Linked DNA regions of Daphnia pulex. The protein of the gene in region 6 interacts with the protein of the main gene of each other region in a pairwise test. Links are inferred from orthologs where the notes say so. Each region holds a gene or a part of one and is shown on either strand. Other genes may lie near its edges. The genes, in order: 33 kDa inner dynein arm light chain, axonemal-like; palmitoyltransferase ZDHHC17-like; intraflagellar transport protein 20 homolog; dnaJ-like protein 60; protein tumorous imaginal discs, mitochondrial-like; huntingtin-like; nucleoporin p58/p45-like.

The links.
Region 1: the proteins of huntingtin-like (region 6) and 33 kDa inner dynein arm light chain, axonemal-like interact in binary tests that used the Homo sapiens proteins (3 or more experiments, as listed by UniProt). The link is inferred for Daphnia pulex from reciprocal best matches to the Homo sapiens genes HTT and DNALI1.
Region 2: the proteins of huntingtin-like (region 6) and palmitoyltransferase ZDHHC17-like interact in binary tests that used the Homo sapiens proteins (3 or more experiments, as listed by UniProt). The link is inferred for Daphnia pulex from reciprocal best matches to the Homo sapiens genes HTT and ZDHHC17.
Region 3: the proteins of huntingtin-like (region 6) and intraflagellar transport protein 20 homolog interact in binary tests that used the Homo sapiens proteins (3 or more experiments, as listed by UniProt). The link is inferred for Daphnia pulex from reciprocal best matches to the Homo sapiens genes HTT and IFT20.
Region 4: the proteins of huntingtin-like (region 6) and dnaJ-like protein 60 interact in binary tests that used the Homo sapiens proteins (3 or more experiments, as listed by UniProt). The link is inferred for Daphnia pulex from reciprocal best matches to the Homo sapiens genes HTT and DNAJC4.
Region 5: the proteins of huntingtin-like (region 6) and protein tumorous imaginal discs, mitochondrial-like interact in binary tests that used the Homo sapiens proteins (3 or more experiments, as listed by UniProt). The link is inferred for Daphnia pulex from reciprocal best matches to the Homo sapiens genes HTT and DNAJA3.
Region 7: the proteins of huntingtin-like (region 6) and nucleoporin p58/p45-like interact in binary tests that used the Homo sapiens proteins (3 or more experiments, as listed by UniProt). The link is inferred for Daphnia pulex from reciprocal best matches to the Homo sapiens genes HTT and NUP58.

The regions. Positions count from the first base shown.
Region 1 is NC_060021.1:10,925,382-10,929,293, reverse strand, and holds 33 kDa inner dynein arm light chain, axonemal-like, read right to left. Parts: upstream 2,112-3,912; 5' UTR 1,921-2,111; coding exon 1,828-1,920; intron 1,742-1,827; coding exon 1,520-1,741; intron 1,403-1,519; coding exon 1,270-1,402; intron 1,172-1,269; coding exon 828-1,171; intron 745-827; coding exon 709-744; 3' UTR 640-708; downstream 1-639. Other genes in the region: DNA-dependent metalloprotease dvc-1-like, read left to right, coding at 1-592; synaptotagmin-4-like, read right to left, coding at 2,758-2,895, 2,959-3,152, 3,238-3,361, 3,524-3,668, 3,817-3,863. UniProt on the Homo sapiens protein: Involved in sperm flagellum assembly.
Region 2 is NC_060024.1:10,255,494-10,259,941, forward strand, and holds palmitoyltransferase ZDHHC17-like, read right to left. Parts: upstream 3,049-4,448; 5' UTR 2,877-3,048; coding exon 2,769-2,876; intron 2,706-2,768; coding exon 2,634-2,705; intron 2,568-2,633; coding exon 2,440-2,567; intron 2,382-2,439; coding exon 2,172-2,381; intron 2,111-2,171; coding exon 1,951-2,110; intron 1,881-1,950; coding exon 1,722-1,880; intron 1,664-1,721; coding exon 1,457-1,663; intron 1,391-1,456; coding exon 1,229-1,390; intron 1,164-1,228; coding exon 1,004-1,163; intron 940-1,003; coding exon 826-939; intron 767-825; coding exon 663-766; intron 595-662; coding exon 292-594; 3' UTR 199-291; downstream 1-198. Other genes in the region: aladin-like, read left to right, coding at 3,657-3,755, 3,826-3,965, 4,041-4,185, 4,261-4,448. UniProt on the Homo sapiens protein: Palmitoyltransferase that catalyzes the addition of palmitate onto various protein substrates and is involved in a variety of cellular processes.
Region 3 is NC_060023.1:11,437,678-11,440,714, forward strand, and holds intraflagellar transport protein 20 homolog, read left to right. Parts: upstream 1-1,226; coding exon 1,227-1,374; exon of another isoform or gene 1,375-1,395; intron 1,396-1,470; coding exon 1,471-1,625; intron 1,626-1,692; coding exon 1,693-1,809; 3' UTR 1,810-2,093; downstream 2,094-3,037. Other genes in the region: plasminogen receptor (KT)-like, read left to right, coding at 222-302, 384-427, 504-700, 762-907; calumenin-B-like, read left to right, coding at 2,428-2,517, 2,593-2,720, 2,783-3,037. UniProt on the Homo sapiens protein: Part of intraflagellar transport (IFT) particles involved in ciliary process assembly. May play a role in the trafficking of ciliary membrane proteins from the Golgi complex to the cilium.
Region 4 is NC_060020.1:3,246,543-3,250,324, forward strand, and holds dnaJ-like protein 60, read right to left. Parts: upstream 2,395-3,782; 5' UTR 2,115-2,394; coding exon 2,089-2,114; intron 2,017-2,088; coding exon 1,923-2,016; intron 1,864-1,922; coding exon 1,673-1,863; intron 1,591-1,672; coding exon 1,417-1,590; intron 1,355-1,416; coding exon 1,233-1,354; intron 1,079-1,232; coding exon 858-1,078; downstream 1-857. Other genes in the region: eIF-2-alpha kinase GCN2-like, read right to left, coding at 2,727-2,853, 2,914-3,083, 3,151-3,409, 3,469-3,578, 3,646-3,782.
Region 5 is NC_060024.1:9,132,786-9,137,415, reverse strand, and holds protein tumorous imaginal discs, mitochondrial-like, read right to left. Parts: upstream 3,095-4,630; 5' UTR 3,047-3,094; coding exon 2,929-3,046; intron 2,853-2,928; coding exon 2,650-2,852; intron 2,594-2,649; coding exon 2,348-2,593; intron 2,268-2,347; coding exon 1,967-2,267; intron 1,891-1,966; coding exon 1,483-1,890; intron 1,339-1,482; coding exon 1,211-1,338; 3' UTR 1,176-1,210; intron 986-1,175; coding exon of another isoform or gene 870-985; 3' UTR 759-869; downstream 1-758. UniProt on the Homo sapiens protein: Modulates apoptotic signal transduction or effector structures within the mitochondrial matrix. Affect cytochrome C release from the mitochondria and caspase 3 activation, but not caspase 8 activation.
Region 6 is NC_060020.1:1,043,575-1,047,590, reverse strand, and holds part of huntingtin-like, read right to left. Parts: coding exon 3,982-4,016; intron 3,917-3,981; coding exon 3,721-3,916; intron 3,658-3,720; coding exon 3,260-3,657; intron 3,196-3,259; coding exon 3,010-3,195; intron 2,933-3,009; coding exon 2,751-2,932; intron 2,693-2,750; coding exon 2,566-2,692; intron 2,504-2,565; coding exon 2,343-2,503; intron 2,276-2,342; coding exon 2,127-2,275; intron 2,064-2,126; coding exon 1,930-2,063; intron 1,819-1,929; coding exon 1,555-1,818; intron 1,473-1,554; coding exon 1,291-1,472; intron 1,228-1,290; coding exon 1,064-1,227; intron 1,002-1,063; coding exon 763-1,001; intron 695-762; coding exon 524-694; intron 458-523; coding exon 228-457; intron 166-227; coding exon 61-165; intron 6-60; coding exon 1-5.
Region 7 is NC_060024.1:3,688,665-3,693,324, forward strand, and holds nucleoporin p58/p45-like, read right to left. Parts: upstream 2,863-4,660; 5' UTR 2,748-2,862; coding exon 2,680-2,747; intron 2,611-2,679; coding exon 2,336-2,610; intron 1,999-2,335; coding exon 1,867-1,998; intron 1,805-1,866; coding exon 1,717-1,804; intron 1,651-1,716; coding exon 1,476-1,650; intron 1,412-1,475; coding exon 1,281-1,411; intron 1,225-1,280; coding exon 1,157-1,224; intron 1,100-1,156; coding exon 872-1,099; intron 780-871; coding exon 612-779; intron 424-611; coding exon of another isoform or gene 410-423; coding exon 315-409; 3' UTR 221-314; downstream 1-220. Other genes in the region: uncharacterized protein LOC124200496, read right to left, coding at 4,517-4,539, 4,644-4,660. UniProt on the Homo sapiens protein: Component of the nuclear pore complex, a complex required for the trafficking across the nuclear membrane.

The DNA.
Region 1 (3,912 bases), on a different chromosome or scaffold from region 6:
TCTCAACTCTCCCACTGCTGGACCATCTAAGAAAGCAGTAACTGCTACTGGGAATCTATCTACTTCTCAACCTAAACTGCCAACCAATAATCCCGTGAAAGGGAAAGCTTGGACAGGATTTTCGGGCAAGAACGTTAGTCCTCCCAAAGGGAAAGCTATATCCGGATATTTTACTACTTCCACCACTTCGGGCAAAGGAAAAACTGTCACCGGCTTTGCAGGATCGGTGAAGAACAAAGGGAGTTCGACAATAACGGTTACATCACCATCTTCTGGATCAACAGAAACAAGTGAACCAAATGATGCAAGACCGACTCAAGGAGGCATTGTGTCCAAGCCTCCATCTATGACGTTATTTATCCCTTTTACTGGACAAGGCCGACTCTTGGGTGGTGGCCCACCAAAAGTCAACACTCCTTGGGCCAATCCTTCAACATCATCCATCAAAAAGGAAACTCCAAAGGTCGTTGAAATAGTTTCTTTGGACGCGGATGACGGCCCCAAAGATGAGAAAAAAGTGCCCTGTCCAATTTGCCAGTCGCTTATCGACCTCAGTCAGATCAACACACATTTGGATTCCTGTTTGTCTTGAATTGAACAACTCTGTCAGTATTCGTCTTCATATTTCTATCGAAATTCTGTGATGCTCAAAAGTGTATTTAACAAAGAAAAACTCAAATGTTTTAATATTACAAAGATGGTCCCGTTTTATTTATTGCCAGTCAATACTCCCTCCAAAAGTTCCTGGTTAGATTTTAAAGAAATAACGAGTTAACCTAATTATTTCATCTTATTTCTTCCAACAATAGGTCTTCATTAAGATTTACCTTGAGCTGTTTGTTGGATTGCTGTAAGGATTCCACCTCTTGTGCGTGCTGCTCTTTCAGAGACTCCATGTCCTCTTGAGCTCTTTTTGCATTCCGTTCCAGCTCGACCTTCAGCTCCGTCTTTTGACATTCGAGATTCTGCTCAACGTGCTTTAACTGCTCAATCTGGTCCTCCATTTCTCCCCGTCCTATCTCGGCCTGCAGGGCTTTCCGTACGCCGAACGCCAAGCTGCTCTCGTACAGAGTCTGATATGAAAGCAGCGTCAAATTGAGTTCGTCGCGGACTCGAGCTAAGAGGAAGCCTCTCTCGGAACAGCTGACGGTCACTTGTCGGATCAGTTCATCTGAAACCCAGTAATTTCGTCTCTTTAATACCAACATCGTCTATTTATTTTATTATTTATTTTATCGATCGTAGAAAAATAAGTTGCCATGCGAGTACCAAAGCACTGCGAGTAGAGCTCCCTCCTGATTGGACAGATTCCAATTTCTCGAGCTTGTCTCTGCTTGAGTCTGGAATCCAACTGCTCCTGCAAAGCGAGGACGTCCAATCTCGTCGCCGGCGTAGACGAGACCTTATCACAAACAGAAAGACCGACGATGCAAGAATACAAACATAACTAAAATGCGCTTTGACTCTTTCCCGGAATGAAGACTATATTGAATTTGATTTTTCATATTCGTATGTGTACCAACTGCCGCCATATCTGGTCGTCTTCGGTCCATTCCTTGGGAGGCAGAATTGCGTTGATTGCATCTTGGGCTTCACGTCGAATTGCGTCACGACTTTTGTTTCCCCCAGGAGGAGAGGGTGGATCTGGGACAGGACCGGGAGTGGTTGCTATGATGGATCGACTTGTATTCCCGCCGGTTAGCCCAGTGGAGGCTGGTTGCAATTGCGGCAACTCGTCTACCTGTAAACGAAAGTTACTCAACCGAATTAAAACAATGGCCAACGAAACAAAGGATTCCTTATATGACACAGTACAAAGTTCCTTACTCTTCTCTTGTTGCCGTCACTCGGCTCACGCACCAGAACGGGATTGTCATATTTCAACAGCGAAAACGAAGTGCCCGCCAAACGTTCTGACATTTTCGCTTCACTTGGCAGTTTCCCTTTGGACGTCGTTTCAGATTAAAGCAGCGACTGTGAAACGTGACAGCTTCTACTTCACGGCGCTTTGATGCAAGTTTTATGAGGTGTTTATAAAAGAATTCGATATGGATCAAACATCCAAGCCGACGACTGCGCAATCGCAGCTCCCATTTCTTATTTACTTGTGTAAAGTGGATGAAATATTTGGTTGGGTTACTTCTTTTATAGAAGTAGAAAGCAAGCAGCTGCATTGCCCAATAAACTGATGTGTATTGATTTCTTCATTGTCGCGTTTTACATCATTTCGTCATCACATGAAAATTTTTGTCAACAATTTCTGTTTTCGGAACCAGACCAAAAAAGGGGGAAACAAAGGAGCCGATGAAAACGTTTTCTTCTTCGTAGCAGCACAGCAGGAAAGATGCCGTTATCCTTGTATTTATAGAAATAATTCCTCGTCATTTCGTCCAGGCAACGAAAATAAATAATGTGGCCGCCGGTTCTTCCGATTGATATAGTTTAGTGGATGGAAAAGTGTGTATAGCTTTTTGTAGCGAATTGAATTGTGATAAAGAGGCGTGTGGACAGCAAGGAGGAAATAACATTTCGGGGTGGATTGTTCACGTATAAAAAGCTTTCCAGTCTACAGCGAGCAGCAATAGAATCCGTGACACAATAGCAAACATAGATCGAATCGTGTTAGAAGTAAATATGTATATATTTAAATAGATAATAACGTTCGAGGGGAGGAAATAATATGTTCCAATGGGAGGGAAAAAGGTTGGAGTTGACGCGATGGTTTCACCTTTTGATGGGTGATCAATGCGGCCGGATTCAATCCTTCAGTTTGTGCCATTCGGCGATTTGACGACGTGGAGAATTCAAGACCTCGTTCCAGTGATGCAAGGCCGTTCCGATCGTCTTGGCTCCGCCCAATTCCAAACGTCCAATCACCTGTTTTAAATCCAAAGGCTCAAGATTACGTTCGAAATATTATTCCGACTCCACTCTAATAAGGCACTCGTCAAAAATTACCTCATTTTTGGTGACGCGGTCCCAGTCGAGGACGAGAAATTCGAGACTGATATTGTCCAGTGAAGTGGCGCTGGCCGGCAAGTCGAAAACAAACGACTCGTTAAAAACGGGATTCAGCGTGCGCTTCTTGACGTGCGTCTTCTTCTTGGCCACTCGTTGTCCATTGTGCACAAGATAAATCTTGACGTAAGGATCTTGAGTAAATACAAATAATAATAATCATAAGACTCTGATGACAAGAAGATTAGGTAACGGAAAAAATGAGGGAGGGCAACGTACCAGCAAGGCCGGTCATGTCCATGCGGGGAATGTTACGAGCTTTCAGGACGACGGCTGTTAGTCGAGAAGCTTGCGGTTGATAACAAAGCGACACCAGAAGCTCGCCTCTTCCGTGAGTCCTCATCTATTTTGATGGTTTTCAAAAAAAAAAGGAAAAGGTCTATAACTTTAACGAAAGCAGCTGGATCATTTGCGTGTCTCCCTAACAACCACACGCCCCTCTGCGACTTGGGCATGTCGTGGGTTTTTCATTTTTCTCTCCCGTTTCCAACACGATGGGGCTCACCTTATGACTGCGTGGCGCAATATCTCGGAATAGTAGAGCGCTAGAGTGGTTTCCGTTGTCTGCAGTATTGTTGGAATCGACTGAATCTGTCATTTCCTCCAGAGCTTCGTTAACTGGCAGCAACACTTCGCCAATGACGTCATCTCTTAGAAACCAGGGATGATGATTATGCTCGTATAACATATAACACCATATTATGTGATGTCTAACAATGTCTAACTATTATGTTAATGCCTAGCCGATTTATTTAGAATGGGAAGCGGAATTTCCCCGGGACGGGGGGGCGGAATTACCTCGAGTATCGATCGAAACACAGAACGACGAAATGGAGCGTCAAGCTCTGAAAATAGAGAGAGAAAGAGAAAAATACCGGTAATGACGGTCGTATA
Region 2 (4,448 bases), on a different chromosome or scaffold from region 6:
TTCAGTGCGGATAACACTGCTTTCGTCAACAAGGTAGCGAATGAAAATGACACAACGAAAGGAAAGCGAGCTCCATTAATACTCAACCCTCGTCTGTGAGGTGAATGCTGGATGGACCCTGGAGGTTGACACAAGGAAAAACAATCGATGTGGCCATCTAGCGGTGGTAACTGAATATCAAATAACCCCTCCAAGACATTACTTTTGGACGTGACTTTATTATTGTATAATGTACAAAAAAAACACACACAATGGTATAATGTAAACCGACACGCACGTAAAACTAATTGTTCAAACATTATTCACATTATTTTTGGGGATAAGTTCTTCTTCGTCGTCATTCAACCATCTGTCCATATTAAATTCTGTTTTCCAATCCACGTCTCGCGGACGCAGGTAAGGTGATCCGCTGCTGCTACTTCCTCCTCCGATTCGTATGTGGAAAAACTCTGCAGCATTGTGTAAAATTCCTCGGTCGAATGGACTTGCATATTTTGTTTTTTTGAGCCAAGAAGACTTTTTAGGAGTGCGATGGAAGTGTTTGTATCTGGAAGCATTAAGTCTTTCGTTTGTTGTCATACCTAGGATTACCACCTGTAAATAAAGATAAAAACAAATTCGAATTGGTAAATCAAATTCGTAGGAATTTACGAAACACATACCTGATATAACTGGCAACTCAATAGAGCTGTAACCCATATTGCATGCAAACCCGCGTTAGCGGCTATAAAAGTCACCCAGCCATCACAATACAAGACCCCTAGTCCTATAGAGGAAAAGTCTTTTAAAAATCTCATTTTATAATCAGGCTACTCAAATACAAACCTGCATGCGCGTTGCATTCTTTATTCCAAAAATTAACGACACCAAAAATGAATATCACGCATGACACGGAAAGTAGAAAGAGATAGTAAATAAAGTAGCGATGGTTGTTGAGACCTAAAAGAAATAAAAGTTATATACACTCGTATGGTTGTAAATTTTTTGGGGCTGATCTACTTGCCTATACAGTTGCCAACCCAAGGGCAGTGATGATCAAAGCGCGCTACGCATCTATTGCAGTTGGAGCAATGCTTGGAACGGATAGGTCGCCTCAACAAACAGCAGCTACAAAAATGTTGCGGTTCAAAACCAGGACCGAACTCTGCCAACTGCTTTATGGTCTATTGTGAGGGGGATTGAGATCAAATTAATTTCTTTGATTGCGATGAGACCTAATGAAACTCACTTGGTACTTCTCGTCTAATGAAAGAGAAATTGTGCCAGGGTCATTGTTCCACGTCTTGTAAAAGGCATAGCACAATCCAGTCGCGGATAAAGTGAAAGCCACATTCGTCACCCAATTTACGCTGGAAGCCAGCCATACAAACCAAGTGACTAGCACCCACCACTGCAGCAGAGAAGAAAATAAAAATTAATATTTTTGGACAGAATATTTCTATGATCTACTAAATACCTTTGTCGCTAAGTAAATCGATACTGGTAAAGATTCCATCGTTGTATCAGACGTAAAGGAACATAGTCGACCAAACAGGTTTATACATACAATGGTCAGAAGTAACATCGCTGCTTTTAGATAATAATTCAGAGAGCTTTGAAAAAGAGTACCCAATATGAAAAATAGAACAAACGGACTCGCAACAAGAAACCAATGCTGTAATTTCTGTAAAGAATAAATCGGAATAAAATAGGGAAGACTATTAGGAATCGTGATGTAATACCTTGTAATTTCGCGCATTTTTTATCCGTGCCATGCATGACAGTTGGTCAACACGCGCCTCTTTATCGGACTGAGCCACGCGATCCAGTATCCTGTGTAACAGACGAGGTCCCAACCAAGGAGGTTTGTCTTGGACTAGCAATTTGAAGCAACTTGTACCCTGGAAAAAATCGTCAATAATCAATCGTGCCGGAATACAATTTTGCAAGTTTATAGAGATTGTTATTTACTTTTTCATTTTGAACATCCAGAGAAGCATTTCTTTCCAATAAAAGCGATATAGCCGAGACGTTTCGAGACTCTATTGCCCAGTGGAGAGCTGTGTTGCCATGATTATCCTGAGAAATCACGCTTGCACCTAGGGAGGCGAGTAAACGAGTAGGATCCACACTGCAGACAGAATCATGTCAGACTTGGATTTTAACTAGGAGCCACATCATTAATTGAATACGTTGTAGTCCTGAAGGCAGCCCACATTAGGGGTGTCATTCCTTGCATATCTGCACTATTGACAGGAACTCCATGAGCCAGTAAGTAAGCACACACAGCAGTGTGTCCAAACTGAGCTGCCAAATGAAGTGACTGGAATCCTTCTCCATCATAAACCATTGGATCAGCACCATGTTTTATTAATAAAATTACTGTAGCCAGGTGGCCCTGTCTGTAGAATGAATGTCAAACAGTATTATTCATTCTGATCAATAAATAACACAAGGTACCTGACAGCCCAATGTAGAGGAGTGGCAAGTAATTTACCACCAACTGCGTCAACTTGAGCCCCATGATTTATATACAAGTTAACAAGTTCCTTTCTATTATTGATGGAGGCCCAGTGGAGTAGAGTAACCTTTACATGTAAATTGTGCATTCAGTTGAAAATGTGACTTACTAAAAATATTGTATGGTTTCTTACATTTTCATCATCTCTTTGGTTCACATCATATCCTTGATCTATGAGTTCTTTACATCGGTCAAATATTCCATACTGAGACAATATAAAATGTTATTCTTTACAAAACAAACAAAAAAAAAGAGATAAGATACTAACTTGAGTCGCTTTGACTATGTCCCATGTTTTATATTGCTGGTCAGTACCGGTGTTTATATTGCTCTGCATGTCATTGGAACGATCTTCACTGGGAGACTGGAGTGACATTTTCGGGACAGTAAGGGTATTTCCCGATACTTTTAATTAAACTTTCTTAATATTAAGTCTATTCTTTAAAAAAGCATTTTTTTTTTCACCACAACCCAGCCACAACCGCAGCACCAAAAAGCAAGACAAATATCGATTGTACTCTGGTTGCCTATGGTTACGTCGCTTGCGCTGCTCGATATGCTTAAAGTGCGCAGAGCGGGATGCGGGATAGCCTTTCGGTGGAATGCGGAAAACAACATCTCGCAGAATCTCATTTAAGTCATCTTTACTTATGTCTAGTTGTCTACTCCCTCATTTGCATTGCTTTCCTTTACTTTAAAATTAGTTTTGTCATACTCGCCAATTTTTTGTTTCCGTCCCTTAACTGTCTCGTCAGTCGTCACGTCGTGTTTCGCATATTTCAGATTTTAGTTTTTAGCGAATCTTGTGTGAAACTGGACATTAGGTGTCAAATAAATTTTTTAATGTGCCTCCAAAATAATTTAAAAAGTTTCTGATAAATATTAGATAAACATTTAATAAAATAAAAAGTATTTTGAATCCAACAATAAAGATTGCGCGGTTGCGCCGCATGCGCGCATGGGTCGCGGGTTGTATACCGCATACCACTCCCCGCAATTTAGGCATACGCGGCGCTGCTGTAGAATACTGTATTGGAATTCTTATCTGACAGACGTGAGACGTGAAGTCGTGAACGGTGGCTCTCACGTTTGAATTTGTTGGATTGCCGGTAACTGCAGTTCAGAAAACGTGTTTCGAAAATTCTTCTCCCTATCAATGATGTCTTCTCAGTTAATTGGAATGGAATCTTTTCGGGAGTTCAAATCATTTGCCACTGAAGATTTTGTTCATACGGATATATCTAAAACGCACGAGGTAATTTTAAACATGGAATGTTTGCATTACTTAGTATTGGTCAAGGTTAACTGTTGTAATATTTAAATAGGAAAGTCAACTACCAAAAGTTAATATAAATGTCCCAGTTTTGCCTCCCACGAAATTTCCCAGAAATGAAGCTGCTCTTGCATTTATCCCAATAAAGGATAATGAAAAAATCTCTGTTTGGAAACAATTTCTGTTTATACGGTAAACAGCCTTTTTTTTATCTTTTTCAAATAAAAAATAAATTCATGAATATACATGATATATGTTTGCTTACAGGAGAACACAGGGTATTTACCAAGCATTTGAGTTATTGTCACAAATGGATTTGAATAAGTGTTCAGCAAACAAAATGACATGTGGAGTATTAAGTCTTTGGAAAACTTTAAAAGCAATTCAGAGTGTTATAGTGCCCAATTCCAGTGTATGTATACATTGGAATAACAATTCTTTAAGCTAACCACTTACACTGAAACCTTATAACTGGTTTATCTTTCAGGTGTTGTCTAGTGTTAATACTATAGCTACATTTTCACATACCAAAGACTGGTCTACTAGCCCTGTAAGATTTCTTGCCTGGCATCCCCATTGTAACAAGCTCGCAGTTGCTACTAGAGATGATACTGTACTCGTGTATACCGGTTCTACGTCTACTCCAGTTGTCGTCCGTCATTCATCACAGAAAGA
Region 3 (3,037 bases), on a different chromosome or scaffold from region 6:
AGTTTTTTATTTGATTTCTTAATACCTAGGCTTGTTTGTAGTTTGTACACAGGTAAAATTGAATAACGTCAAAATAGATTTTAAAATAATAGTTTGTAGGCGCCACCGCTAGAAGGCATATGTTGTCAATGACTCAATGTAAACAAAGGGTTACGAATACTAGTCATCAAATTACGTTGTAGATTTAAATTGTATTTGATAAAATTGAAATAATTTGCGAAATGGGGGGCTACGTTTCGAAAGCAGTGCATGAAAACATGAAGAGTAATCAAGAGTTCATGATAGAAATAAATCGTATAACAGTAAGTTGTCTTTTTTCGTAAAAGTCCAAAATACAAACTTAGAAAGTATAAATTTAATAAAATCTAAATTCTGTTCCCAAGATTGAGAGGCAGATCCAATTGCAGAATCAGATGAGAGAAAGAATGTAAGTCTTGGTAGAATGTGTATTCTTAGTGGTTCTATTTATTTTGTTTAAGGTCTGGTTGATGGCTTTTGTTTAGGGTGGCGTTGCAGATAGCTCGGACCAGGGAATTACTGAATTGGTTTGGGGCATTTTACACTGTAGCTGCTGCAGGCATGCTGACAGGTTTTCATCACTCTCGTAAACCTGGTGTGCTTGTGCCACTACTACCCTTAACTTTTATCCTTGGCTATCAAATTGATATGGCTTATGGAAACAAGCTTATGAGAATTAAACGTAAGTAAAACCTTATTATTGGCACTATTTGAAAGTTCTAAAACAAGTTATTTATTTTCAGATGAAGCAGAAAACATTGTTAAGTTTGAGAGTGAACTACTAGATTTGCCCATGCACTTACCAACCTTGTCAACCATAGACATGGCAAGACAAGTGCAGCATGATAAACTTATAATGCATTCAGCTGAACCCCCTTTGTATTATTAAGCCTTGAATTCTGAGAAAGTAGTTCATTTTTAACTTTTTATAGAGCATCCCTTGTTCTTGTACTAATTTGGTTAAACTACTTCAGTTTATTTGTCTATTCTTTAAAGCTATTACAAACATGTATTCATTATTTCTTTCTTTTGAAATACTGGAATTGGAAACTTTTTATCAGAAAAATCTGCATTTCTTTTCAAATAATAGTCATTTTAGCATTCAATCTATTAGAAAAAATACCCCCTTTGAATTCCATTTTCAGTCGTCATAGCAACTAAAAGTAAACAAACAAGTCATTTTCTCGAGAAGACCAGCACAGTCAATCATGGATGTGAATAATGTGTTCATGGCGGAGGACGAACTGGTTGAACAAGGATTATTCATCGATGACATCCACAGACTTCGTATCCTTGATCCTTCCTTGGCCGATCAGACAAAAATTCTCAAGACCGAATGCGATCAATTCCTCCAGAGTAAGTGCAGTCAATCCATTTCTACAGAAGAATTGATAACATTTTTTCCATTTCTTTTAAATAGTTTAATCATTAATTCATATGTTTTTGTTTAAGCAACGAACAATTTCGATAAGACGGTCGACACATTTAAAAAGGAGGCCAGCAGAACAGCAGCGGCTGTTGAAATAGAGAAAAAACGGGCTATCGGTTACCGGCTGTTACTGGATTCATTGCGTAAGAAAAAGGAACAAGATCAGCGTCAAATGATGGTATGTGAGCAGTCTGTCTGTATTTTGAAAATATTCTTATCTCTAAAGACTAAGTATTTAATAATAGGCAGAAGTTGATCGTAAACGCTTAAAACTGGAGCAACTTCGCGTCGAGATTGAGATGCTTCAAAAAGCGGATCATTTCCATCAAGAAATTCTCGATCAGTTTCAAATGCTTCATTAATGTGCATATCGGCTATATTTCTTATTTTAATTTATACATTATTTTCTGATTGATGGTGCCTTCAGGCTAAAGAATTTTGTGCATCTACTTTGTCCCAAAACTGTAACATAAATTGCTGGGTCAAGCAACTTTTTTAGAATTACTTCACAAAAGCACAAAACCACTCCACCCCTGTCATCCCCATAAGCCAGAACGCTTTATTCTGTTTCTTTATGATTGAACTTACTCGAGGGCCAGAGAAATCGTCCTTTTATTTGAAATACACACTTTATTTGCAACATCAAGGGACCTTTTCCAACGTTTATTTCCCAGTCTTTCCTTCCACTATCAGCTTTCTTGTTTGTCTTTCAAATACCAGAGAGTTTAAATCGAGATAAGCGATAAAATAGAGCGGGGCAGCGGGAACACGCAATAATAACCGCTTTCAGTTCTTTATGAAGTTGCCGAACCCTATTGGTGACGTTTAACATTTGACGTTGGACATTTTCGTCTGCTACACGTAATATAAGAAGGGTCGCTGTCGTTCCAAGCGTTCTAAGAGAGATTTCGGTGATATCTACCATCTTTTCTGGATTGTTCCAGGCGTTAACTCGTTTGGCAAAGCAGATCGTTTGTAAAATGCGGTTCTCTTTTGTTGTTGTGTGCTTGACAATAAGTCTTGTAACAGCTATTCCAAAACCAAACAAGACTTCAAGAGTTAAAGATGAGGTATTTAAAAATAGTAATTTTGTTGTTAACTTTTCTAAGTGTGTTCCTTAACGCCGATACTTTCTTTAATGACAGCCGCTGAGTAGTCACAAACATTATGAAAATGAAGAGCATAATGCTGACTATGACCATGAAGCTTTTCTAGGAGATGAGGCTAAAACCTTTGATCAACTGTCTCCTGAAGAAAGCAAGGAGCGTTTAGGGTAAGTGCAGTGTGAAATCTCAAACATGTTCTTACTCCATGAAACATTTTGCTATTGTGCAGGAAAATTGTGGACAAAATAGACCGTGACATGGATGGCAAGATCACCAAAGAGGAGCTGAAATCATGGATTCAGTACACTCAAAGACGTTACATATTGGAGGATGTTGACCGTCAGTGGAAAGCACACAATCCTAATAACAAGGACTCTATCACATGGGAAGAGTACAAAAAGATGGTCTACGGTTTCATGGATGATATGGAACCCTCAGAGCTGGAGAATAATGCTGAAGAAGGATTTTCATACAAGGACATGAT
Region 4 (3,782 bases), about 2.2 Mb from region 6:
AAGTATTGGTATCAATATCCAATTTTTAAAAATATTTCATCACTTCTTGAAAAAAAAAAATTAAGTAATCGGTGAGGCCTGAATCCTGAAACACGGTATTGACTGATGAACGGTCGAACTACTGAATGGGCGAAATAAGCAATGACGAGAGCCTTTTAGCTCAGGTTTTGTTTATAAAGGATTTCGCTATAAAAACGATGAAAGCCTTAAGGGATCGCACTTATTCTAATGCACACCGATGACTATATCAAGTATCGCGCGGTCCGTTTTGTTTCCAGAAACGATTGTTCCTTTTCGGCTATACACACCATTTTCTCTTTACTCTTTATGGAAAGCACACGCTAATCAAAAGACCTTGCAATTTTTCAATAGAAATTCTCTATCACGGAAGTTAGTCCACAATGGAGAGGGTTGACAAAAATAGAAACCATTTTAATGAAATTTTGTTTTTTTGCAAGACGCAACTAAATGTTTGATAAAAAAAACTTAATAACTAGTTATCAACCCTGAAAATGCATTACATCAACTTAACACCTGAAGCAAATATTCTCCTTTTAGCAAATTCAAGAGGCTTGGCAATTTTTCAACTTCAATTCAAGATATTGAAGACCAGTTTAAAACTAGTTTTTAAATTGAAATTAGCCTTTTTTTCTTAGAAAAACATACCTATTCTTTTACGTAAAGAAACGTCAAAATTAACATGAGAAAATTTCACTTACTTGATAAAATGCAACACGGAAATGGTCTCGAGGAATCCCAAATTTGCCAACCATTATTGCACACGACCGAATGAGAGTGTGGACTGTGGACTCCTTGAGGTTGTAATCAGAGCTATCAGGGAGTTGGAACCGTCACCTTCAAAACTCTAAAACAATATGTGGTAACAATGCTATGTAATTCAACAATCTCAGTATCGCTTGCGGAAGTAACGATTTATTAACTCTGACCATACTTAGTAAGGCACGCGCACGCCGGAACTCCTGATTTAATGTCGCAAAGAAAAGTTTTGCTGTCCTCAAACAAGCACAGCTTACAAAGTAGTAACCACGAGTTAATATACAATAAGCGCGAATAGCACCTATTCAAATGAAGGCATCTGAATTGGGCGTAAATTTTTTTGGAAAGAAGACTCTTTCGTCCATGTGCAATCTTTTTAACACTAAAATTCTGTATGTACATACAAAAGATACGCAGCTACTTATTTGATTTATCATTCGTTTCCCATTCCTTACTTAAGCGTTCTATTTGCTCACTGGTAGAACTTGCCAAAGCCTTCCTTCTAGTTTCCAGATACCAGTTGGTGCTTTCTTTATCGACTTGGTTAAGAACCTCCAAGGCTCTGGCAGATGATTTCCTGTTATATAATAAATACAGATTCAAGTAAAAGTACATGTCTTAAAAAATAGAGACACTCACTTAACAATTACAAAATGGAAGGCCGCTCCAACTAACATAAACACAACACAGCCAGCAGCAATGTATTTGTTAGATATTCTCTGCATTCCTTTAATCCCATAATAAGGTTTGTCTTTATAATATTTGTCCTTGGTTTTGTCTCTTGCTGACCAAAGAGTTTCATCTCTCCATTCACTAAAACATAATAGAAATACTGGAAAATTAGTTGGATAACAAAATAGTAATAATTTATTAAAAAATGGCTCACAAAACATACTTGACTTTTCCAAATGGTGCATTAGTTTCTACCCAACTGGAATAATTATCCACAGCTGCATATTTTCTACTCATCAGACTAGCATCATACAATTGCCTTTTGTATGGCTTTGACAAGACAGAATAAGCTTCATTTAGCTTAAGAAAAGACTTGTGGCAATCTGGGTCACTTTTGTTAACATCTGGGTGCACCTATTTATGTGTTGTAAAACATCATCAAATTCTTTTTAAATAAATAAAAATGCATTTACTTTTTTTGAAATTGAAACAAATGCATCTCTGATTTGTTTAGAAGAGCAGTTTTGTTTAAGTCCCAAAATTTCGTAATGGGTTTGTAACAGTGGGCTATAAAGACATATTGAGTCATTAAATATCTATAACTTTAAAACTAAATGGAGTAACTGTACAGGGACTTACTCCAATGATTTCTTTGTACCTGCCATTATTTTCGCCTAATGACAATAATAACCTCAAGTTCGTCGACCTAAAAAATTGTCGATAAATCTGACATGGGCACACGACGAAGTAGCTTGCCGCCTAATTAAAAGACTAGCTAATTTTAGGCTCGACAATTTTGGATTGTTGTCAAACCCTTTAATCCCTTCCCTGAAATTCTTCAGTCTACAAACAATAAAAAAAACTAGCTTAAAATTAAAAGCTAAACAACCGTGAACGAGAAGTGGATAAACCACCTCATCAGAATTACAACTTCACTTGTTTTTAAAAATCACTTCTGCTATTACTAAGTTACATAATACTTGCGCACTGCAATCTAGTGGTGTTTCAGTAAGTTATAAGAAATTAGCATTTTTGAAGTTCAATTGGTAGTTTTTTAAATTACATGTTTCTTAGAAATGCACAAATAATATAAACAACAAACAGAAAAACACCTCATAAACGGATTTTATTTTCCATTTTGTAAACAGTTTCAGAAACGTCAGGGTTGTTGACCCCAGCCTAGCAGCAAATTACAACACTTTGATTTGATTTCACTCTTAAAATAAGAAAATATAAAATAACACATTCACCCCAATTTTACATTAGCAATCTAGCCATTACATACAAATTCTACTGGAATTATCGTGTAGTCCATAGATCATCAGAACAGTAACATGTTTTTCAAATTTGAGTTGAAGAAGTTGCTCGTATATTCTCTGCAAGTATTTGCGTTGTCTCCGGTGTCTAAAAAAATTAAAAAAATTAGTTTGGATAAATATATATGATGAATATGTTTTGGATTACTTATCAACGACAACTCCAATCGCTTGCTCTACTGCCTTTGCGTCGCTAGGATCAACATAAAGGGCAATCAATAACGATTGAACGACAACCGCGGTAGCTTCTATTGCAACGATATCGACTTGAACTCGCGAATGAAAATTTTGCAGCGTTGTTTGAATATGCTTTAGAATCTGTAATAAGAATAAGATACTTTGTTATAAGATTTAAATGGAATTTGAACAAAGGAAACAAAATTACCTGTTTTTCATAACGCTTTCTGGCATGAACAGGAAGTTTTTCTTCGATTACGATGTGAAAGTTCACAATTGGATTACCCGCGATACCTTGTAAACTAGTGGCCGTTTGATTGCCGCAAGTTTCACTTAAACTATTACTTCTGTTCATAGAATCTTGGCGAGTGTGTGAAACCAAAGATTCAGTCGTGTCGTTTGCAGATTCGGCACTACACTTTAAAACGTCAATCAGTTCACCCAGCATCATTTTCCTTTCAGTATATCTGTTGAAAAAAATTTTAATTCTGGCCCATCTTACCAACTATTCACAATGAGTACTAACCGATCTTTTTCCCATGTTTTTAACCTCGCAGAACCAACCTCGGAATCCTTTAGAATTACTATGTGCGGCACATTTTTTTCTCTGCACCAAATTTGAGCTTCATCAAGACTCTGTAAAGCAATTATAGAAAATTAGCACAAGAAAACACACAGTTGGGAAGAAAAATATAATAAGTACCTGACAATGATCTAACACTGTGGCGCGAACCCCATTGTTCCACAAATCCTTAACTAATGAGGCTTGTTCCTTGGTCTGAGGACGATATCCTACGGTACAGATAGCAACGTAGACGAGTACTCGTTCTTCAACAACCT
Region 5 (4,630 bases), on a different chromosome or scaffold from region 6:
TTACTTCTGTTTTCTTTACGTACGTTGCCAGAAAAATCCAAAGAAACGCGTTTCTTTTTTTCTCCTATATATCGATAACGGGTTGCAATCAATATTTGTAGTTATTGAATCGATAACAAAAAAAGCAGTGTTTAAACTCGCTAAAAATAAAAAAAGCAATTTAAAACAAAAAAATTTAAAACAAAAAAATAAAAATAAATATAGCTACTGGACCACCTTTCTTAAAATGCTACATTTGAAAATTATTTTGATGTATTACTTTTATTAGCTCTTCAAGCTAAAACCGAATATAATTCCAATTTAGTTTAGATTTCATTTTTATACGGTACGATGTATTATCTCAGATGTCGTGTCATGACGGTCTAAATTTTTCTATTACCACGACATCTTTCGCAGCGATAAACAAGGTTTAGTCCATTGTCACGACAATCTATTGGTCCTTTTGTCGTGAAAACAATTAGTTTAGATCTATTACCAAACCAATTTCGTGTCAGTTAGAGCTCCCACCCCAATCAATCGGTCTTAATAACCACAATTTGAGTAAAATTATTTTAACAAATTTCGCAATCGAATTACAGCTAAGTAAAGTCCATTCCTTGAGTTCTTGCTTTGATGAAGGAATCCAATTATTTGAATTATAATACAAGCGTCATTTGAAATTTGCTGGAAATTGAAGCATTCGGAGTTGAAAAAAAACAAAAGTCAATGATCAAGGAAAATGAAAAATAATTTTTATCACCAAATGAATTGAGTGAAGATGTGGTAACTCGACATGGTTTATTTTATACAAATGCGTTAACAACTGACTACATTTATTTACCTTCCTTAAAATAAAGGAAACTGGCGAGAGAAATTGTTGGATATTAAACTTATAATTTCTGTCGTTGGGCTTTATCCTCCTTTGTCTCTTTTAAATTGGAATCGTCATCTTGAGAAGAGTTAGTCGAACCTTTTTTGCTAGAGCCATCACTCGCCTTTTTCGCACCTTTGAAATAAAAAAATTCAAAATTACAATTACAATAAAAATAATCAATAAATTCTAACGCGCATCCGTAACGAAGCATAAATCAAAGCTAGCTAGACTTAAAGTCAGAGATCAATAACTGGTAGTTAAGATGCAGCTTGAGAGGAAACACCCAGGGTTTGTCATGTCAATACATTTTACTATTACTTACGTACTCTATGGTAGTAGTCGCGACTTTTCCTATCTTTATCCAAAAATGGCCTTTTTAAGGCGGCCAAAAAGACCATCTTCTTTTCCCTGGGTGTCCTCCTTGCTAGCTGATTGGGATTCCGAGCCAGCCATCGGCGCTTCTTTGATCCCATCCATTCGTTTACCTAACAATAACGCACACTATACGAAAAACTAATACTTCGACCCTAGTGCAATATGTAGAAAATGCTATTCCCATTTAATAGTCCTTATTTATCTTGTCTCGTATACAGTAATCTTAAAATTATGTATTAATTGTGTTTATTTACCATCTTTGGTGTAGGTGATTCCGTTTACAGTTCCTGGGGTATCTTCTTCAAGTTCAGCGTAAGCCAAAATCAGTTTTTTTTGCTTTTCATTAAGCCGGACCGGGATTTTGATTTTTATATGAATGTAGTGGTCACCAAATCCGTAACCATTAACTTTACGTAATCCTTTTCCATTCATACGAATACGTGTATGTGACTGCGTTCCTTTAGGGATATCAACTGTTAGCTCTTCATATATTCCTTGAACGCGGATGGCTCCTCCTAGGACGGCTTGCGAGAATGTAATAGCAGCGTCAGTGTGTATGTCGGCACCATCGCGACGAAAATAATCGGATTTTTCTACCCGAAAAGTGATAAAAACTTCTTTTTGGCCCACTTGCATTCTTACTGTTTGACCATCCTCAACACCTGGATAATATGCGATACATCAGCTTAATTTTCTTCGGTGAAATGTTTTAAGTAAAAAAAAGATTCCAAATTTTACCTGCCGGAACGGGGACAGTTACTTTTTTTCGCTGAACTGTTGAACCTTTTCCTTCACATTCCAAACAAGGATTTGCTATGTGCATTCTTGAACCCATGCATCTTCTGCAAGTCGATCTCATGATGAACGGACCAGTGCTAATTGTTTCCATCCCTGTTCCATTGCAAAATGGACATTTTACTGCTTTTGTTCCAGGTTCACTTCTTGAACCACGGCATTTTGGACATGTATCAACCACATTCAAGTTTATATCTTTGTTGATTCCTTTGGCAGCTTGAGCGAATGTCAAATTCATGGTCATCTGTAAGTTAAGAACAACAAGTTATATTTACTTCTTGAAAATAGCTATCAGAAAATACTATCAGAAAAGTAATATTTTACCTCTTGAGCAGCACCAAACCCAAACCTTGATTCAGCAAATTCTTCACCAAAATTTCCTCCTTGAAAGCCAGCTTGTCCGAAAATCTTTCGGAACAGTTCTTCAGGATCAACACTAGACTGAAAATTCCAATTTTGATGTCTTGAAAAGTCCTGTGAAGCACCTGGTCCAGCCTGTCCACCTCCCATTTGCTCTGAAGTAGCTCCCCATGTATCAAATTGTTTTCTCTTCCCATCATCGCTCAAAACCTATGATGTAACTCTTCAATTTAAGATCAAAGTAAACAATAATTTAAAATATATACCTCATAGGCTTCAGAAACTTCTTGAAATTTTTTTATAGTTTCTGGATCATTTTTATTGGTATCAGGATGAAACTTTTTAGCTAGTTGGTAATATGCTTTCTTAACATCTTTTAAAGAAGCATTTCGAGGAACACCTAGAACATCGTAATAATCCCTTTTTTTTGCGAACGTGATGTTTGATGTATGGAAATTTCTTCTGCTTGCTAAGTAAAGAAATTTGAAAATTTAGTATGATTAACATTTAAAGATTCATAATTTTATGCTAGTGTAGAAAGTTACTTGGAATTTCAGATTGAAGTGCAGCATGACTCGTTATGGGCAATAAAAACCTCTGTTTTATAATTAATCCAAACAAACTTCGGGAAGTGCAGGCCATTTTCTGTAACCGGGGCCACATGGGGACGTACAAGGTACAAATCGTTGGTTTCGACTCGACTGTTTAAGTGAGGCAGTGATCCCTAGATGTCATCACTTGATTTCGTTTTAAAAATACTTAAGCCATGCCCGGGCCAATCATCATTCATCCATGGCGTCACGATCGCCACAATATTAGCTAAAAATTCAAAAAAAAAAACAAAAAAAAAAAAAGGGAAGTCTGCTAACGTGAAGAACCCTTGAAATATCTTTTTGTTACAAATTTACAATAACGAAATCATCTACGCAGCGATATTGGAAGGTTTTCTTTTGATCCTAGATATCAGTTTAAAGTTATGAATATAAAAGAATTCGAGAAGGTGCAGGTGCATACAAGATTTTAATATATATTAAATTTTATTTCCCCCATTACAAAGTGAATACGAAATGAACTCTCGGTATTACGGAACGCCAAATTGAAAAAGAAAAATGTACCGCTCGTCGCACCGCCAGTGTGGCTGTGTGGCGAATAGCAGAAAATTCTGTTCCATCCGGAATGTCTTCCGCCTTAGGAATTGATCGTACAGAAGCTGATCATATTTCTTTTCGATGATCGAGTCAACCTTTTTGAAAATAGATGTATAAAGAAAGAAATGGTGTCTCCGGATAATCGTAATCCATCTTGATTAACGACGCTGATAAGCTTTTGGTCCTGAAACTTAACAAAACAAAAAAAAACAGGAAAAAGTGTACGAGAAACCAAAACACTGAACCTAGTGCAAACAATATCTAGACTGACAGCAATAGCAAAATTCGCAAAAATAAAATAAAAATTAATCTACAAACATTGACAACGAGCTCCTGAACAATGTAAGGTTTAAAAAAACCTCACTTCTTCCAAGTCACCTTCCTGGCTTTACCCGACCAACCTGAAAATGACGGAATTAACGAACAAACTACCCTTTATTATATTCAACGTTCAGAAATTCGTAGGATTTAGGGTAAAGGCGGACGAATCAATTCACAAGGTTCTAGAAAGAAATACGGTGTTGACAAAAAATAGTGATGCTGGAAGCATTAGTCATCTCTGGAGAGAATTACAATTAGGCAGTTCGCCAAAGACTGTTGAAGCGAGTATGGATGGTATAGAATTATTGTTCGAGAAAACGATGACTTACTTTACTTTATTATTACTTCTTATCTCAACAGTCAATAAATGATGGCATCTACGGATTTTCCTCCTTACACCAACTTGCTTTAAAATAACATTACTGTATCATATATCCAGCAGCATAAAGACGATGTATCCTGGCTTTGAATTGTTAGATGTGTACTTATCATAATAAATAATATAATTTATTGACACCATGTACCAAAAAGACAACCGAAAAAAATAACAGCACCTATACTATTGTTAGACTTGAATAGTTTCGCACAATTTTCGCCGTCTTTGATATTCAAAGTCGCTACCTGAAAGGAAAAAAAAATTGTATATATATATTTATAATTTATATATATTATCTTCATCAAAGTATTATAAATTAAATATATTTTATTACTTGGCGAATCAAATGAGCACTGGATGCTAATACAGCCACATAAAACGGCCATGACTGTTCTGCGGAAA
Region 6 (4,016 bases):
ACTCCCTAAATTATGAAGACGATTTAGCAAGATAAAACCAGAAAATAATTTTTAAACCACCTTTTCAACGCAAAATCCAGCACAAACGCCTTGTCGATATCTCGCAACATGCTAGACCTATTTTCAAAGGTAGCGCTTGGAACTGCTGTGATCTCGGAATACCATCTAAAAAAGAAAATTGAAGATGTCATAAAACGTAGGATAGTAGGTGGGCGAGTGCCAAGAACCTTTGATTAGCTGACTGAAGAACGATTTTTTGTACATTTTCCAAACAACGAAGCTTAGATTCAGAAGAAGTGAAATTTGCGTTTAGAACAAGTTTGCACATTCTTCTGTGCACAATGCCACTGGAAATTGTCTGAAAACTGGAAATGATATGTAAAAGAATCGCTTCCGAATTCGCAACAAGCTCGACATTCTCTATTATATTCAAAAGAGCCATGGCCGAGGATATCTGCTAATTTGTGAGAAAAACAAAATTTATAAATAGTCACTTAATCCGCTGATCAGTATGATATTTTACCAATAAATCTTGGCCTTTCGCCAGCACACACTTCACAAGTGGTTGAACGTATTTCTCATCATTATGAATAAGGCTTCCAAAAAACTTCTTCACAGGTGTTTCATTGAAGTGATTTAAGATTTGGTCTGCATACAAGCTAACGAACTTCAAGATTTTTTTTTCTTCTTTAGGCTAAAAGTAGATAATAGTCATCTGAGTCGGAAGATAATTTACAATTTAAGAAAGTTTTTCGAGCGTACCACCACACCGGAGAGCAATAGAAAAAGTCCTTCTTGCGCAATACTTCCGTTAAGTCCACCAAAAGAAGCAATATTTTCGGATTGGATGTGATAATTTTCCGACAATAACAAAGCGCAAATCCGCACAAAAACTATCGGATTATTGGGAATCAATTCCCTTGCTACTTGAAATAGAGGAGACTTACACTCGTCACGCGCCAATTCTGCAAGAATGGCGGTCTGCAGCACTGGGAAATCATCTATTAAACAAAATATTAGCTTTTTAAAAATTTTGAAACAGTAGATAACATGATTTACTAACTTGAGTTTAATAAGCGACGACACAAGGCAATCAAGTCCAGTACTAAATGGACGGAAAATGAGAAACCATCAATTCTCCACGATATGGAGGTAGAGCCACAATTATCAACAACCACTTTACTTTTCCAATGACTTAGAGCTAACTTAATAGTGTCAACCAGCAAACTGAGAGAGGAAAAAAAAAATTTAATATGAATTCGTTTGAAGTTGATAACTTTGTTGGATTACCATGACAAGATGTGTTCAGGCGGTGAATTCTCAGTAGGCGTTACATTTAACGGGTCACTTCTCTGATTGACCAAATAACTTAGGTTAAATTCATTTAAACAGTCCAACAAGAAAGCTTCATCAAAAACAGCAATCAAGGTTTTGAAAACCGTTAAACGGCAGGCCAATACACGATGGTAGTTCTGCAATAAAAAAATTAAAATGAGAAGAAAACAAAACCATTTTACTCATAATGTGCAACAGGTGTATCTTAGCGTATGCTACCATAGCTGCTGAAGTATTGAAATCCTCCGATTGCTTAGGGGTAAATGTCTGCAAAAGCCCTAGTAGAGACTCATGCACAACAGGTGGATCCATATGAGAAATCAGCTTTTGAAGCATTTGGAGGGCTTCGTCTGAATCCAAAAATAGCGAATGCCTATTGAGTTGCGGGATGAGTGCATCACAAATTTGCTTCGAGAGGGATTTCCATTTGTTCGCATTTTCAAACTGCACTTGAAGTAATACAGCAGTTATCAAAGGGTAAACCTGCAAATATGATTACAATTATGAAATTTTTTTTATAGGTAAACTTACTGATTTGCACAAAGACTAGTAAATTAAGAAAAAAAAAAGAATTAACTTGCAGTAACTACATACCTTGTGATACTGAATTAACCGAATGAGTAAATTTATAAGGACTTCTTTCTGAGTTTCAAGTTCCTTAAAGTTATCACTCATTCTTTCTCTTGAAAGAAACAAATCTTCGACCATTGGTTGCAATGTGGGAAGCACTAGAAATTTAAAAATTAAAGTTATGCGTACAGCAAAATCAGTAAAACACGCAAAGGGATTACCGTGCAGTTCAGCATCCTTTCCAGTAGCCATTAATCCACCAGCAAGCTGCATAATGCGTGGGACAGAAATAATAGTTTTTGAATGGAAGCGATCATACGATAATAGTGACAAAAATCGAAACATGGAGGGCAACAGAGTTTCGACTTGCCTGATAAAAGATTAAAATGAAAATGGTCAAATCAATACCAATAAAAAAAAGATCAACTAGCACTTACGGTATGAAACCTTCTTCTAGAAACTCAAACTGTTGGATGACAAAATTGAGAAAAACCTGGTCGGCATCGAGAAGGCAGTAGTTGACGCAAAGATGGATCAATTCGCAAAGAAGATCCAAAACTTGCTTTTGAACTAGTGGACAGCTTGTGACGGTGTACAACTTTGATGAAAAACTTATGTTATTAGTAGAAATACGGACACACGCGAATGGCTAAAACTCACCTTCAAGGCCTTGATGACCATCGGCTCAAATAAGCGAATATAAGAAGTCAAGGCAGTTTTATCAGGGCCAATTTTGTTTATAGAAGTTCGAAATTTGGTTATCAGATTTGGCCTTTCATTGTTTCGGCTAAAAAATGAATTTAAATAGAAAACGAGAAGAAATAAAATGTTTTAACAAAACTTACTTGAAATTCATTTGACGTCCAGCACTGTTATACAATAATTCATCTAATCCACAACTCGAGTAAATGCTCTCGTCACATTTCACTGTTGGTTGCAAACTTGAAGAAATTGCGCTTCTTTTAAATCGGGCTGCTTCGTCAAACCAGACAGCTGCTAAATTGGCTCCAAAAAGCGCTTTAAGTAACTGAAGATTGATTCACAAAAGAATTTTGAAATCAATATTCTATTAGGGTTATTTTTTAACAAAGAAAAAAATACAACCTGTTGAACGTTGCGCAAACAGTAGACTGGTTCAGCTGTAATAATGATGCGTAAATAATTGAGAATCTCCTCGCTGTGTTTTCCAATATCTTGGAAAATGGAAACTTCAATTAGAGCGGCTAGCAATTCCAAAGTAGATTGGATAAAATTCGACAAGCGTTCCGAGGTAATCGTATCAAAATTCAGCTATAGTTGTGAAAATAAATATTTACTATACAAAAAAAAAATGTACAGCCCCAATAATACATACTTTGCAAGTGGCGTGCGTACTCTTCAGTAAATCGTAAAGTTTCACGTAGAGAGGTTGAGCAGCAAAAAACCCGACATTACTTGGATTAAGCAAATGTGGTTTGTTCTTACGGCCGGACTCATCTGACTTATCTTCTTTATCTGAGATTAAACTTTCAGTGCTTCGAAGTTTGCGACGTATTGGACTTAACGCGGACGGGTTTGGAAGCGTCACCAATGGTACTTTAATTGAAACCAGTAATGGATTGACATCATCAAGAACACAGCAGAATGCATTTAATATACGGGTAGCATGACCCAATAGGCAAGACGCCGTAGCAGACGAAGGGCCCTTTAGAAAACGCCAATCTTTAAAATCTTTCTCTAATTGGGGTTCGTTTAAACCTGCTTTCACACATCCTATTCCAAGAAATATTGAATGTAGAAGAAATTAATGAGAAAGAAATTAAATGAGAAAAAAACCTGCAAAGAGCTGAGTGGCAAGTGTGATTAGGGTCTGGTGTGTTACTAGATCCAACATCAACGTAGAGTTTGTCAGGAGTGCCATGCATACTTTCAAGAGACTGCAATTTCCTTTTGAGCTACAGCCGTAAACTTCCAAGTACGTAGCGGGAGGATAAGAACAGCTCAAGGTAGACAAACTTTGCAGGCAGCCCATCTGAAATCGAACAACAACAATTTTATTTTCAAATTTTGTGCATTATTAGTAAATAATTGTAATACCTTGACAAACTTTGAATTGGAAGAAACAAGTAGTT
Region 7 (4,660 bases), on a different chromosome or scaffold from region 6:
CAAAAAAACTTTTGGTTTTTTTGCCCGGGAAATATAAGAAAAACAAAACTTTCTTATATGCGGAACCTGGCACTTGCTCCGCTCGGCAACCCAAAACTTTTTGGATAATCTTGTAGTGAAAACACAAACCGGCCTTCTTTTCTTATTCCCGGAATTATTTTATCGGGCAACTTTGAGAGGGGGGAAACAAAAAATAAAACACTCGAGAAAGTAAAAGAAGTAAGGGAAAGATGGGAATTATCGTTTATTCAAAAACGGATGTTTACAGTAAGAATCTTGAGGAGAGAGAGAGAACAGAGTTTTTAAGAGTAAATTTAGCGCTTGTTCCTTTTATTGCCGGGAGGAGGGCTTTGCAGCTGGAAACTCGAGTTGGCTGACTGCAGCGACTGCGCAGAGCTACCGAAAAAACCTAAAAGAAACCGACAACACAAACGAAAAGAAAACAAAAATAAGGAAAAACAAAATCAAAAATAACGAAATCAAAGAGGAAAAGAAAAAAAACATTCCAAACATTTTGCTAAGGGGGAAATATTATACAGTATGTGAAACCATCAAAAGTAAGGTGGTTTATTGAAAAATGGTCCACTCTTTGGTCAAAGATGTTGTAGTACCTGCCGGGCGGCTTGGTGTCCCGAACGATAGACTACCTGGATTACTACTACTAGCTAATGAGGAGCCAAAGCTGAGACCACCACTAGTGCCACCACTTAAACCTGCACCAGAACCTTGAACAGCGTTGGTAAGGTGGCTTAATGTCCGAGAAAGCGGATCCGAGGTACCTATGATATGATGACGCATCACCAACAAGAATTTACAGTGCGTGAACTACTAATCTGAAAGCTCAAAGTTTGTTTTTGTTCGGACTCTTTACCTCCAAATGGGGACGGCCCACTGCCGATCTTGTTCAATTGGCTCACCAGCACCGATTTCGAAGGGGCGTGGCTCTTTGAGGCGAAAATATCAGTGGGGTCGTTCAGAACCCGTCGTCGGTACGTCAAATAATCGTCTTTGTAGTTTTGAAGCGAAGTGTGAATCATGTGGACACGTCCAGCCAACAAAACAAATGCCTCGTGCAACTTTTTCATAGTCCCCATCAGTTCTAAGATATGAATAATTTAAATTTCATCAGTCTGAAGACATTGGGATGGAAAATTACCTTGAGGAGTCAATGCATGCTGTTTGGTCATGGCCAGCAGATTCCTCTCCGTGTCTTCGATTTGTTGCCTAGACGGAGAATAATTTTAGTGAATGCTTAGGCACAAATGAGAATACGAAAGTACTTGTAAAACTGCATTCGCTGCTCGAAATCAGTCACTAAACGCATAAAGTATTCAAGAGGCGCCGTATTGTCGAGCTGCATACTGGGTGCTGTTTCTTTTGTACGCTGGGCGATTTCAGCATTTTTAATTTCCTGAAACAAGTTGAAAGAAATTAAAATCTTGCTTTGCTTTCAAATGAGACGTGATGCGTCTTACAAGTGCTACATCATGCTTCAATTTGTGGACCAATGCGGAATGCTGCTGGATGTTATTGGCCAGGTTGGAGAGGATATTCTTCAAAGTTTCAACCTCCTCGCCCACTTTTTCTGGGGCCTTGTTACTGCCTCGACTAACTTCGTCCTTTTTGGCTTTCTGTTCCTTCACATGTTTTCTACAGATTGAATACACTGTCAGTGATTGTGAGAACTATATAAATACCCTGGCCGTCTTTACTTACTTGAATTCTTCAACAGATTGAGAGATTTCGGCAGGTACAGGCATTTCATTAAAAGCTTTTGAATCAGATTTTCCTTGTGAGTTGGATGCTAGATTTCAAAGGATGAAAATCAGTTTTGTACAGATGAATATTTGAAATATATAAGCCTACCAGAAAGATCACCTCCAAATGTAGTTGAATTGATACCCCCAAGACCAAGAGAGGGGGCTGTTGTTGTGGTAGATATCACATTAGTTGTGAGCCCAGTAAAAGGAGCACTTGAAGCTGCACCCAATCCAAATCCTATAAAAGCAATCAGTTGAAAGTTACTTCAAATGGAAACAAATTTTAAACTATTGCAGCGACCCCACTGTTCTATGGCAACACCAAACAAAAACTAATTGATCAAAATCTTGCAAAATTCAACCAATCAGCTGCTTTCCATTAATTTTAGGTTTTCACAGTCTTTCATTCATCAAAATAATTGTTTGGTTTTTAAGGTGGTCATTTTCCAAAAAAACATGAAAATTAAGCCATCAATATTTTTTAAAACTCTAGAATGTAAATCTTTGTTTTCCTGTTATTATGGGGAATAATGCTGCTTTTTAAAAACTAAATATTCTAGTTCCTTGTAAGTTACCAGTTGAGCTTGGTGCACCGAATCCAAAAGGAGCTCCAGTCATTGACTTTGTGGCAGTTCCTGTATTCAGGGGAGCACTGGAGAAGCTGAAAGCCGGTGCCTGTGATGTGGATCCAAAGCCAAAACCGCCTGTTGAAGATGCATTACTAGTACCCATTTGAAAACCTCCAGTTTGCTGTGGAGCTGTAGTGGTTCCAAATGAAAAAGGAGCAGCACTACTTGTTAAAGTTGCAGGGCCAGAACCAAAGGAGAATGAAGAATTTGTAGGTGCTGGACTAAAACACCAAAAAGCATGTTACTCACAGACAAGAGTATAAGTGCAGTCTAAATAATTGAATATTTACTTTCCGAACGACGGCGTTCCAAAGGCTGACGGTTGAGAGGGCTGATTGGAAGTTAAATTAAAAGACATTGTGATATTCTATTCTTTCGAAATTTTATACAACATTTAAATTGTGAATAAACCGGCACCCGAACAAACTCGTCCGTTTCTCGTCCCGTTGCTAAGTTTACCGATTGTCATCTGTTTTTTTCCCTCATGCGGCAGTGCCGGATTTACAAATTCGTTTCACATCAAATCTGGCAATCGAAATCGGATTTTTACTTGCCACGCCTACATTTTTCAAATTTTTTCAAACTTACCTCAAACTTGAAAATTAGTTTGAATTTATTCATTAAATCTGTTTGCATACACAGTTAAAAATTTGTAGGCTTGCTTGATGAAGTCCCACTCCTGAACAAAATAGAATTGAATAAATCTCTTTACATTCCCCATTTCCCCTTAATATAATCCAATAATAACTTTACAAAAACTCTGTCAATCATCAGCAGCTAATCATGTATTTTGTTGTCACGTTATTGCATTTTGCGCATTTCGAATGATCGGCACTCATAAGGACGCGACAATTTCCTCCTCCAACATGAAACCAGTAAAATGGGTGTAGTGGTTACTGCTGTCAAGCAATTTCACGCCCACTGACAAGAAATAAATCTGCACCCAGACCCGATCGCCTTTTTTCAAGTTCTGCGTCGACTGGAGGGTTAATGGACTTGATTGACCAGCGGCGGTGTTTGCCTCTTCAACGTAACCTAACCCGATTCGAACCCCGTTCAAATAAAGACCAACTCCGAAATAGACAACAGATGATGAGTATGGAAAATTCGCCAGTCCCGTGAATGAAAAGAAATAAATTCCGGGTCGCGGAGCAGTGAATATTCCCGATGTCAAATCCATGGCATTTCCCTCGTTCGTCCGAGCGAAATCGAACGAATCGGAGTTGATTCTGTGGAATATGACTTGATTCTCTGGGCGTAGAAATGAACAGTCGCTGATTTGACGTCGGCATATCCGATCCATTTTTGAAAATCTGGGCAAATAAAATAATTAATGGGCAAATAACAATAACTCGGAAATATGAACACGTCGTAGTACCATTTCCATTAGGATAAAATTTACAGTAAACCATTTCCATCTTTTTCAATCCTTTCACCAAAAAGAATCCGCTCAGTTTATGTCCCGTTCTCAGCAGATCCGCACAGGAGGTAGGCATTTGGCCAATGTCAACTATTTCACTTGGTTGGGCTGTTGAAAGAAAATTCAAATTATTTTATTCTCAACTTGAACGGTGGCTTTAAACTTAATTCCTTTGTGCCACTAAACCAATTCAATACATTGTAAAATTGTAAAATTAGTTTTCACATACAAAATGGCACCACAAGGTTTCTTCTGCTCTCGCAGTTAAAATAAATTGAGATAAAAAACACGGTTTTTGTTTCATAAAATAACAAATTCGTAGCATTCTTTATAATTTTAGAAATTTATTTGACCGAATTTTAAAATTAATTACCATTTGATTTTCTTGTCAAATCCGCAATAGCAGACTTTGTACTGTTCAATTGCGTTCTCGTTGCTGAGGCCAAGTTTGTCGTTGCAGTTTCCAAATCACTTAAAGTTTCTGAACGGTAGCATTTGAAAATATGAAAATAATTAAAATATGAAAAATGAAATTTAATCGCGCGAATTATTTATGAAGAATATAAATAACAACTTTAGAAATTTTTTTTCTTTAATTGATGTAAAATTTATCGCTTGCCTTTAATTTTTTCGAATTCAATCATTACTCACAATTACCGTTTAATTTTGCCGACAATTTCTTGACTATTCCATTCGTATGTGTAAGCTCATTTTTCGTGATTTCTAAATTCTGCAATGCAACTGCAAACCCATCCGAAACAGGTAGAATTGTTTCAGAATTTTTTTAAACGTCTTTCACTAGGCATTACTGATTAGGCTAATAATAAAAATTATCTGCCAGATTTTCTTCC